Linked DNA regions of Nothobranchius furzeri. The protein of the gene in region 2 interacts with the protein of the main gene of each other region in a pairwise test. Links are inferred from orthologs where the notes say so. Each region holds a gene or a part of one and is shown on either strand. Other genes may lie near its edges. The genes, in order: tcap, lamtor5 and git1.

Region 1 (3,289 bases), on a different chromosome or scaffold from region 2:
TGTTAAAAAAGACAGATTGAACGTACAAAGGAGTTTAGAATAAAGTTTGTTTTTGTTTGTTGTCACTTCACTCAATTACTTTTGATGCTTTAGACATTATTGAAAAAATACCAGAAATTGATCTTTTAAAGGGATAGTAGGCAGTTTTGGCTTGCCTTTATCGCCCCCTAGTGTCTGTTAGTGAAAGCAAAAGTGAATCTCCTCTTCTTGCTGTACGTTCGTCTTTTTAACACCTTAATCTAACTGCTAATTGTCTCCCCAGCCTTCATCAGGAGGGATTCATCACTGAATTAAACAAATCAGCTGTGTTCATGATCTAAACCATGCAGAAGACATGCTGGAAGCGGACTGCAGCGCCAGCACGTCAGCTCCACATCAGACTAAAGTGGGACTTAACAGGGAGCTGCTCAGATACTTTAAGATGGGTGATTCATTCATCTTCGTTGTAGTCATTTTGTTTTTCTCTACGTAAAACCTAATTTAGGGTTTTTCAAGAATATCACAGAAACAAGTCTGAAGACAAGGAAATTATGAGTACTTAAAGTTTTATTAGCAAAAATATTTCATTTCCAATAAACAAATATCATCATTTCACACATTAAAAAGTTGTTCATGATCTCAGCCAAACTTGTGTCTGCTGTCAGGATCAGACAGCAGCTGCCACTCAGCTAACAGGAAGAATGAGTTAATGAAGCGAGACGAAAACAGGTACCAGTCTACACACACACACTCACTCAGGAACAGCAGCAGTGTGTGATGGTGCCAGTGCATTCTGTTCTCTCCATACAGAACTGGCAGAAGCTCCTGGGAGGTGACCAACCCAAACATCACGTTTCATCACCATACCACTCCATCCATCCCTTCTTGCCCTTCAAACACTTTCAACCTTCTTTCTGATAACTTGCATCGCCATCGTTCTGTTAAACTTGCACTTTTCACAATAAAAGTGCACTAGTGCTAGCATCACATTCACAAGTGGATCAAACAAGCTAACATATTCTCTTCTTTTTCCGCCTCTATCTTTTCCGTTCAGCCTCTTTGGGCTTCCTGTGACATGGAGCGACCCAGAGCTCTGGGGGCTTTAGTGAACTCCATGAGGACCGGTTTGATGGGGGGGAGGTCTCTGGTGATCTCGTCCACACTCCTCTTGCTGGGGCAGACCCCATCTCGTGTGGGGAAGGGCTGCAGGTCGTGCTCTGTGTGCGGGGCACCACGTCCCAGCCTGACACCCAGCTCTGTTGGGGTAAAGATGGGCAGGGGGAGGGTGTGTCTCTTTGGCAGCAACTGGTGCTCCTTCATCCCTCTTTCCACAGTGCCCACCCTGAAGACACCAGAGGGGCAGGTCTGGATCAGAGAGCGGTACTGCCACTGCCGGGAGAGGGTCTCTCTACGGGAGTCGTCCTTCATGCTCATGGTTTGTCTGTGGGCATCAGACGACAGTTCAACTTAGAGACTTAATAACACTCCAAGGTTAAAACAAGAGGAATCTCAGTACAAACCACTGAGTAGATGGAGCATGTGGTGTCTCACCTGTCCTGAGGTTGAGTTTTCAGATCAACGCTGTGCCAGTCAGCACTGTAGCTCTCCCTCTTAGCCGTGTTTTCCTCCCGGATGCTGCAGGCCAGCTCTGCTCCCACCACCATGCCGTTACTCTTCTCCAGTATGCTGCAGAATGGCATGTTTTCTACTGTCTGGGGATCTTGGGTTCCTGAAAGCTGGTTCTCTCTCTGAGACGTCTAGACTCTCTCTTCAGAGTGTTTGAGTGGCACAGCGATCTGTCCACAGCTTTTATAGACGCCCCGTGACTATTTCTGATTCACGTTGTCATTCTGCTTCCAGTGTGTACTGACATCTGACACCGACTACTCCGCGGTTCATTCCCGGACAGCTGGAATCCAAACTGAGGATGAGTTGAAGGGTGGTTGGCCAGAAAATCCCCCTGGCTTCTGAAAGCACTCAGCCCACTTCAGCGGCGGTCGCAGAGGGGACAGAACAATCGGCGCTATGAATAGAGGTATGATAAACTTGTATGTTCAGCTGTGAAACGGGACAGCAGCCGCTTTATAAGGACATTTCAGATGATATAATCATCATTTTTTATCGTTAAAAAACAACCGGGCCTCATGACAACACCAGCCCCTCCGCTGGACGTCTTTCAAAGCTCCAAAGCGTGTGATTCATTACCTCAGTGACAGAGCACCACTCAAGCTGTTAGCAACTTGGGTTACTGACCGAAACACACACACACACACACACACACACACACACACACACACACACACACACACACACACACACACACACACACACACACACACACACACACACACACACACACACACACACACAGACACACTCACCTCTGCCAGTTATGTGTTGGTGTTATGTTACTACCAGTCCCTGTCTCTGACTCATTCACCCACATGGGGCACTGAAATCATCATCACAACACAGATATCACTTATCACACACACAGCATAATAATAAGGCATCTAAACGACCAGTTAGGCAGGAACACCAATCATCTAGACTTCTTACAAACCTCACGCTTTCTTTCCTCTCATTGTGGGACTTATTCTCATCTCTTTTTATCATCTTTCCATGTCTTTACCATTCGAGATGGCGGTTTAGTGTTATTTTCGTGCCAAGTGCAAAAACGTTTTCACCTGTTTCTTAGCAACTTATCAGCTAGTTGACACAACATGACAGGAATGCTGCCACGGTGAGAAAAAAGGTGTAAAGCAGCCGCTGGCATCCCAAAGGTCATCTGTTTAGGTCAGAAAATCAGCGTGACATGTTTTTGTCATTTAAAGAGACTTCCTGTTTACGTCCTGCTCACTGTCAAAAGGAGGAACGCGGATAATGATGTTTTTGCTTGTGCGTTTTTAGCTAAATATCTTATAAATCATTTAACATGTTTTGATAAAATAAAATATTAAATAAACGGCTGCAGTGGCGCAGTGGTTGGCACTGTTGCCTAGCAGCAAGAAGGTCATGCAGAAGGACCCCTGGCCTGGGGTCCTTCTGCATGGAGTTTGCATGTTCTCCCCGTGGGTTCTCTCCAGGTTCTCCGACTTCCTCCCACAGTCCAAAAGCATGAATGTCAAGTTGATTGGTTTCTCCAAAATTTCCTTAGGTGTGAGTGTGTGTGTGTGTATGGTTGTTTGTCCTGTGTGTCCCTGTGTGGCCCTTCGATGAACTGGCAACCTGTAAGGTGCACCCCACCCGTTTGCCTGGAGACTGCTGGCACCAGCCCCCCGAAACCCTGCGTGGATAAGCAGGTACAGAA
Region 2 (4,305 bases):
CAGCAACAGAGTTGTGCAAAAATACAGTAACGTAAAAACATGTAAAATATAAAAATGGCTAATCCAAATATACAAATGAATAAAGTAAACAATAAGATAAGAGATATAAAATATATAGAGGCTGGTATGTGCAAAACAGTGGCATTAATGTACAGTATGGAATGTGTAATGTTGGAGTTTCAGTAGTGAGGGTGAGGTGTCTGTGAAGTGTTCAGCAGTCTGATGGCCTGATGGAAAAAGCTGTCTCTCAGTCTGCTGGTTCTGGACCGGATGCTGCAGAACCTCCTTCCTGATGGAAGTAGTCTGAACAGTTTATGGCTGGGGTGACTTGAGTCCTTGATGATCCTCCCCGTTTTCCTCAGGCACCGCTTCTTATAGATGTCCTGGAGGGAGGGAAGCTCACCTCCAATAATCCTTTCTGCACACCGCACTACTCTCTGGAGAGCTTTGCGGTTGTAAGCGGTGCTGTTGCCATACCAGGTGGAGATGCATCCAGTGAGGATGCTCTCAATGGCACAGCAATAGAAGGTCCTGAGGATACGGTGGCTCATGCCAAATCTTTTCAGTCTTCTGAGAAAGAAGAGGCGCTGCTGTGCCTTCTTCACTGTATTTTCCGTGTGCACTGACCACGTAAGATCCTCTGCCAGGTGAACTCCAAGGAAACGGAAACTGCTCACCCTCTCCACAGCGTCGCCGTTGATGGTGATGGGGGGGTGTATTCCTCTGCTTCCTCTGCTCCTCCGGAAGTCCACTATCATCTCCTTTGTCTTTGTGACGTTGAGGGTGAGACTGTTGTCCTGACACCAGTGGGTCAGGGCGCTGATCTCCTCCCTGTAGGCCGTCTCATCGTGATTGGTGATGAGACCTATCACTGTGGTGTCGTTCGCATACTTCACAATGATGTTGGAGTTTCTCGTGGCCGTGCAGTCGTAGGTGTAGAGTGAGTACAGGAGAGGGCTCAGCACACACCCCTGCGGTGCACCAGTGTTCAGTGTGACGGGGGATGAGGTGGTGCCGCCCATAACATTATTATTATTATTATTATTATTGGAAAATTTAATAAAACTTGAAGGAAAATGCTAATTCTTTCTATCTATCTATCTATCTATCTATCTATCTATCTATCTATCTATCTATCTATCAATCTATCAATCTATCTATCTATCTATCTATCTATCATCTATCTATCTATCTATCTATCTATCTATCTATCTATCTATCTATCTATCTATCTATCTATCTATCTATCTATCTATCTATCTATCTATCTATCTATCTATCTATCTATCTATCAATCATCTATCTATCTATCTATGCCTATTTTGTTTATGTAATGTAAATGGAAAGATTTTGCGTTCTCTCTCTCTCTCTCTCTCTCTCTCTCTCTCTCTTTCTCTTTCGCGTCACACTTTTTGGTCCTCGTTGTGACTCGTAGCGCACGTGACGGTCAGCTGACTCTAACCGGAAACGTCGATGAAACTGTAAACAATTAAACCTTCTCTCTTTTCGTTTGTTAACGATGGAGTCGACTCTTGAACAGCATCTCGATGACACGTACGTTAAAAATCTCACTCTAACTGCTGACGTACTTCACTTTTTGTTTCATTAAAGCCTTTCTCCTTGTTTTTTTGTAGCATGAAGAATCCAGCAGTTGTCGGTGTGCTCTGCACAGATCACCAAGGACACAACCTGGGCTGTAAGATTAATTTAAAAAAGATTTACAGCAAAATGTATGAAACATATTCGGTTTAGTTAGCTTTTACAAGGCTACGTCAGTGTCGTGTTCTTTTTTTTTTGAATAATGAAATAACTTAGTTGCAGCAAAAGCTATTAATGTAACACACAAATAATATTATTTCCTTCAGTTTAGCTATTTTCATCTGTAAAGGTTGAAATACATACTACAGTATAGTTGAAGTTACTGTGAATCATACATTTCAACCATTAAAATCTCAACTTATTTCACATGCCAGAAAATCTTCACAGTGTTTGCACTGTTAGCATAATGAGATTAGCATTTCTGATGGAATGAGCTCTTCTGGCTGTTTAACAGGTCAACAGGAAGCTGCTGTAATTAAATTTAATCACAAAGGCTAATGAGGTATAATTAAAATTAAAATGTAATGTTTTTATAATTCTCTAAACACAACCAATCCAAAATGATGCTTATAATTGTTTATTGTTGATTATTACTCATAAACTAATAAATACTAAATGCTTAATAACCACGCAGTTAGTTAGTGAGGTCATTTATGAACATTATTCACATACAACAATTACTGTCATTGGGAAAGTGAATACTCCGTGGAATTGATTCTGTGTTACTTGTTTGGCTTCCATGGTTTAGTTTGAACTTTGATCTCTTCTACAATTCATCAAACTTCAGGGAGATGAACATGCTCTAAATTTTACTTAGGCTGTGAATTCAGAACATATCCAGTCCATTTTCATCAGCTGTGCAATGAAACACAAAGCAGAACAACTGATGATAATATAAAGTAATTATTTTACTTCCCAGAGGACTCCTGCAGCAGCTGACAGGTATCATGTGGTCTGAAGAATCACAGCTTGACGGTTGCTGGAGCATAGAACTTGCTGGAGGGGCTGTCTGCCCTCTAGCTGTCTTGATGGAGATGGAGAGTCACTGAGATCAGAGAAATCTGAGCTTCGCTCCTGGACCTGTTAGCAACCCAGACTTTGATAATTGGAAGAAAAATGATGGATATATCAGTATATATATTTTTTCTGTTCGGTTTAATTAATATTTATAACAGAGGCATCCAGCAAAGTCTAAGCTCTTTGTTAGCGTCCTCATACTTTTATTATCTTTTTAGGTCTTGTTGAAAGTTATTTTGAAAAGGTTATGATGTAACTGTTGGAAGTGGGTAAACATGAGTATTGTTTTGTGTAGTCAGTAGCAATGTTTCCCTGGTACATGGACAAACCTAAATGAAATAGTCAAAAGATGCAGAAGACAGAAACCAAACAATGAGTTCAACATGATTCAGATCCTCGAGAGACCCCAGAATTCAGAAATCCTCAGTCTGGACTAAATAACAGCAGTGGGACAGAAATGTTTGTAATATGTTAACAATCCTTCATAAGGAGGTCATTGTTGTATACAGGTTTGGAATTAACACAAATCACAGAAAATGACTGTTTGAAAGATGCACTGATTTCCTTTTTTTAAGACATTTAAATAATTCATTGCGTGTTTCTTTTCTTTTTTCTTTTAGGTCGTGGCTCCTTGTCTGATGAACATGGTGGTGTTGTGTCTGTTTTGTCCAAACAAGCTATGGCGCTCACCAGAGACCCAACAGTCACCCCGACCGTGTGCCTGGAGTCTGAGTCAGGGTGAGAGCACTGACCGGGTTTTAGCTTGACTTGTAATTCTTTTTAAAAATCTATCTCGGGGTATTTAAGATGTACCTTTGGGGGTTCTGATTAATGTGTACGGAGATCAATTACTCTAAAAAAAGCTTTTTGAGAGAGATCAGAACCAGAGACTCAGGGTTCTGAATCTGATCCAGTGGTTCACTGTCTCCCAGCAGCTATTAGCATCCGGGTCCGAGCCTTCATCGCGGTTGCTAAAACCAGTACGCTTATCTGGTTCCTCCAGTTTCTATTTACTTACCAAAGGCAATGCCATTTGTGACTTTGAACTGAACATGCTCGGTTCTTGGCATTAGATTCCAGAATGTTGTTCATTTCTTTCCCAAAAGGCAGCTGAGATATTTTCTTGAGACTCCAAGCCCTTTTTAATTTCCCCTAATAACCTCGTAGACATTTAAATAACCCCATCATCATTAAAAACGGGTCCAAAGTTGAACTACAGAATAAAAAATTAAAAAGCCAATGTCCTCTTTAGTGGACGGAGGCTCCATGGAGGATGGAGAGGGAGGAAGTCAACCAACTGTGGGATTTTATTTATGTCGTTGTGCTGCCATCTTCTGGTAAATGAACATCTCGTCTTTCAGAACATTTTACCAACCCAATGACAGCTCCTGAATATTTATTTATTTAAAATTACTGCTGCGAACTTTCAATCTCAGATATAATTTGTTATCTCAAAAGTCTAAATAACATAAATACAAATACAAACGGTTTTGAGTCCGATTCAAGGCTTATTTTAGCTTTTACATCAGTTATATTCAAACAGTATTTTTAGGTTGTGATTGATCATCTCCACAGCCAGAACTCAGTGTTCCATGAACCACTGGGCCATCGGGACCCCAACTTTTGGAACCACTGCTTTAATTATGTTTGAAACCATAAAACCAGAATTTGTGAATAATTTTGTTTTTG
Region 3 (4,381 bases), on a different chromosome or scaffold from region 2:
CATGTTTTCTGTAAAGATTGGTATGCTGAAAATCATTTAATGTTTTGCATAAAGCATGAGGTTTTGGTTAGTAATTGGAAGAATAACAAATGACTGAATTAAATAGTGGAGCGCCTCTGTCAGTGTGCCCCAGGGCAGCTGTGGCTACATCATAGCTCATCACCATCAGTGTGTGAATGGATGAATGATACACTGTAGTGTAAAGCACTTTGGAGTCCTTACTCTGAGAGGCGCTATACAAGTGCGGATCATTTATCATTTATAGTGTTGATCAGGCAGAGCTGTGTTGCCAGCGTTCCACTGCATAATGGCTTCAGACGCGTATACAATAGTTTTTACGTAAACCATTGGAGGAAATTACACAAACTGAGCTCTAGTTAAGGTGCTTGCAATAGTGTGTGTGTGTGTGTGCGCGCGCGCATGTGTTTGGGGGAGGGTATATTGGAACATCCCCCCCCCCCCCCAGTTTGAAAATCCTATCTGTGCCCCTGTATATACACAATTTAAAAAGTAAAAGGCTTGTTATACAAAAATATAACTTCACCTCCTGTGGAGTAAGTCTGTTCCATTTTAATCGTTTTCTTTGACCAAGGAAGAACAGTGTCCTCAAAAGAAAGGCGCCAGGCCTAGCAAGGCAATGACTTGGTGCCTTAATATTGAAAAACACACAGTGATTTTTTTTTTCCCCTTCAAAAGTCTAATTTAGGTTTGGGGCTTTTCAGAAAACATCCGGGGCTTGAGCCCAAGTGGCCACCTCCTAACCCCGCTTCTGCATTACCGTAAAGTGGAATTATGTATTTATTTAAAATGAAATTTTAGACACTTATTTTGAAAGTTTCAGAAGTAAAAAGGAAATTTAAGTAAAGCTAATCTGATGCAACTTTTTACTCTAAAGAGATACTAATACGACTCACCGGGCCGTTTCCGCTCACAAGCATGTTCGTGCGGAGTTGACTTCCTGCTAAGCTAATCCGTTTCTCCGCCTCAGCACCGCGAGTTTGTTTGGTTTATGAACAAACAGCTGCAGGTGCTCGTGCATTCGTGTATGGCAATCCGATTGGATCGAAATCCGTTCACTTTTGAGCAGGTTTTGTTGTAAAACGGCGTTCAAATCTCCGTTTTTAAACTTCCAACGCCGAAAAACCAGTTGAAAATCCCTTCAGAACGTCGTCTTCGTGAAGTTTTCAGAGCACCGTAAAAACGACGTATTTTCTCGTCTCTGAACACCGCACAGAGGCACTCTGAACACATCCTCCAGCCAACGGTAGAGCTGCAGTCTCCCTGTGACGTTAACGTGTGTGTCCCGTAGGTTCCAGGAGCGGAATAAACGACTCACACCGGAGCTGCGTTTCACCTGAGCTTTTTGCTGCGCAGTGCGCACCGAACTACGAACGATCTGTTTGCAGCCGAAGCTTCGGCTCATGTTTCAAATACACCAAAACAGAAGAGTTATGCTCCCTCATAGCGCTGGGCTCCCTGAGGTCAAGGTTTCTTACTTCCTGTTTAATCTTTTCACAATAAAAGCACAAATTCATAAATACAGGCAATAAAACAACACACAGCGTTCCCTATATTAAGGATTAACGATGTTCGGAAGAACCAGTTCTCTCTGAGCCAGGCTGGGCTGTGGGGTGGGGGGAGATCCAGCAATCAACCGGCTGGGAAAGCTGACCACGACACCCGGCTTCCGGAGACTATAGGACCGCAGCGGCTGGAGGGCAGACATCCGTCTCTGGTTTTCACATCGGCGCAGACTTCAGCTGACTGTTGCGGCCACTTCCGATATGTCAAGAAAGCTTCAAAGGACAGAAGTGTGCGCTGATTGCAGTGCTCCAGGTAGGCAGCGGGGTAAATAAAAACGGAACAATGCCAGGGGAGGGCTAACGGGGCCGGGGATGCTGCCACTGTGGGCTTTCAGAGCAGGAAACGGCCGGGAGTGTCGTCAACTAGGCCCCAGACAAACCGTGAAAAATAGCTGAACGCCGCTACACCGCGGTTAAAAGCCCTGTACCTGTTTATAAGGACGATAACACACATCTGTAGCAGGTTACTGGTGGTGGCTAATAGAGTTTGCCTTTGTTGTTAGCTTAGCTTAAGCTGCTAGCCACTCCAGCCAAGCTGATCCGGAGTTTGAGATTAAAGTCGTGTCGTGAAAATTGAGACGTGATAAAAGTTTGCATGAGTGTCGCAGCAGTGTCCCTTAGGCAAGGGGACCAGTAAAACAACTCTGACCCCCGAGTGGTTTGGTTATCATGAGTCAGCGTCATCCGGATGAGGTTTTGTCACTTTTAGGAGCATCATTACGGTTCTTCAGCCTAACTGGTCCCTGTTGCATCAGAAGGTCTGATCACTCCAACTCCTGTTTATGTGGCATCAGCAAAGCTTCTCTTTCCAGACCAGCAGCAGGTTTCTGACTGGAGCTGACAGAAGACAGCACATCACTCCCGTTCTGATCAGGATTAACTGCAAAGTCCTACTGCTTGCAATCAAATGTTTGAAGTCAGGTCCCTCCCTATCTAAGTGAACTCCTCCATTTCTACCACCCCTCTGGTGCTCTTAGGTCTGCAGATAAACTCCTCCTCACCATCCCTAAGGCATGTTTGAGGGCTTTTTGTATCTGTGCCTCGAAACTTTGGAGTTCCCCACCCCTTCCTGTTAAGCCGGGCGTACACTGTGCGACTTTGTCACTTTTTTGAGCCGATTTTCCACTCGTGCGAGAATCCACGACATCGGGGCGAGTTTTGCGCCGAGCGTCGTGTAGTGTACAGGGGGTTACGAGAGGCGATTAAGGCCTAGTCCACACGTAGCCGGGGTTTTTTAAAATCGAATATCCTCCCCTCCAAAAACTCGCATCCACACCACTGCATTTTAAAAACAAACTCTGTCCACACGTACCCGGATAAATACTTTGTTAAGGACATGCCAGACCTGTAGGCGGCAGTACTTCCCCCGTTCTTAACCTCGTCCTTCGTCTGTGGTCTTCTGCAAGGAGGTGTAATTCTGCTTGCAAAAACAAACAAGTAAAAAGCGCTTGGACAATTGATGGATCGGGTAGTGACAGAGCGCAGCTCTGAGGGCATCCATGCTGTCGGCTAGTGTAAACACAGGTCGCACACGTGATGTCAGCATTTTTTGTCGCGGAAAGTGACGTTGCGGACCTTAAAACTCCGGTTTTGTCCGTCCACACGCAGACACCCACAACGGAGAAAACGCAGATCTTCACTTTGGCCGGAGTTTTTAAAAAGATCAGTTTTCGTGTGAAAAAGCTCCGTTTTCGTGTGGATGACAGGCCAAAACGCAGAAAAATATCTACGTTTTGGCAGATCCCCGGCTACGTGTGGACAGGGCCTAACACCACGTGACCAGCTGCCGATCAGCAGTCGTGAGGTCGCACGGACTTCTGGCGTGTTTAAAATTTTGCTCGTCCCTCGTGAGGGTATGGCACTGTTGAAGCGGAGCTGCGAGCAGCTGCAACCCAAAAAGTATCAGAACCGCTCACGGCGCATGCGCAATCCTGCATCAACGCCGCTTGCTCGCTATTTCCCTAATAACACGCTGTTCGCTTTTATTTCTACACGTTTTTTTACTCACAAAGATTGTCAAGAAAGCGTGTTTGTCGTGTTCATGTCAAATTAAGCTGATCACAAAACACAGATTTACTTTCTTTTAGGGCAGGGTGATACGCCCAAAAAATAAAATCTCCGATTTTATTTTCTTTAATTCGATTTCCGATTTTTTCCGATTACACCCCCCCCCCCCCCCCCCCCCAAGAAAAGGACACCAACAAGTACAAACAGCAGACCACTTGAAGCTACTTTTGCTTTTATTTAATCAAAAGCAAAACGTGTAATGCTCTTCAGGGATGAATGGCGAATAACTGAAAACCCTCTTGGAATCAAAGTGCCAGGTGTGTTTTGAGTCATACTCTGTTGTCTAGAGTGAAATGTGACAAACATTCCCATTAGAGTAACACCATTTTCTCAAACATTAACAATACATTCAAATACAGGTAAAACTAAACCAACCCAAACAGTGCGACAACTAACAGGGATAAATGCATCATACTTTTCAATCCAAAAACAGAGAAAAAAAATTATCTGTCTTTAACTTGCATTTACGGTAAAAGATTTACTTTGCATATAATTTTAAATAAAAACATAAGTGCAAAACTTCTTTCTTGGGTAAAATACTAATTTAAACAAAAATTAAGAGTACAAAAATTGCAAAATAAACAATATTCAACTCCAACTGAAAAGTGCCAACTTTTGTTAAAAAAATAACTTTAACAAACGATTTGTGTCCCTGAATGTAGAAACAGGAGAGAAAAATCACATTTTGATTGAGCTGCTGAACATGAGATCTGTGCTTAAGTTTGGGTCAA

What was found.
Region 1: the proteins of lamtor5 (region 2) and tcap interact in binary tests that used the Homo sapiens proteins (3 or more experiments, as listed by UniProt). The link is inferred for Nothobranchius furzeri from reciprocal best matches to the Homo sapiens genes LAMTOR5 and TCAP.
Region 3: the proteins of lamtor5 (region 2) and git1 interact in a two-hybrid assay, tested with the Homo sapiens proteins (2 studies listed by BioGRID and IntAct). The link is inferred for Nothobranchius furzeri from reciprocal best matches to the Homo sapiens genes LAMTOR5 and GIT1.

Annotation. Positions count from the first base shown.
Region 1 is NC_091745.1:14,198,795-14,202,083, forward strand, and holds tcap (telethonin), read right to left. Parts: upstream 1,903-3,289; 5' UTR 1,680-1,902; coding exon 1,531-1,679; intron 1,421-1,530; coding exon 1,030-1,420; 3' UTR 529-1,029; downstream 1-528. UniProt on the Homo sapiens protein: Muscle assembly regulating factor. Mediates the antiparallel assembly of titin (TTN) molecules at the sarcomeric Z-disk.
Region 2 is NC_091755.1:27,982,186-27,986,490, forward strand, and holds the start of lamtor5 (ragulator complex protein LAMTOR5), read left to right. Parts: upstream 1-1,412; 5' UTR 1,413-1,519; coding exon 1,520-1,554; intron 1,555-1,634; coding exon 1,635-1,696; intron 1,697-3,236; coding exon 3,237-3,354; intron 3,355-4,305. UniProt on the Homo sapiens protein: As part of the Ragulator complex it is involved in amino acid sensing and activation of mTORC1, a signaling complex promoting cell growth in response to growth factors, energy levels, and amino acids.
Region 3 is NC_091753.1:16,485,245-16,489,625, reverse strand, and holds the start of git1 (ARF GTPase-activating protein GIT1), read left to right. Parts: upstream 1-1,530; 5' UTR 1,531-1,784; coding exon 1,785-1,836; intron 1,837-4,381. UniProt on the Homo sapiens protein: GTPase-activating protein for ADP ribosylation factor family members, including ARF1.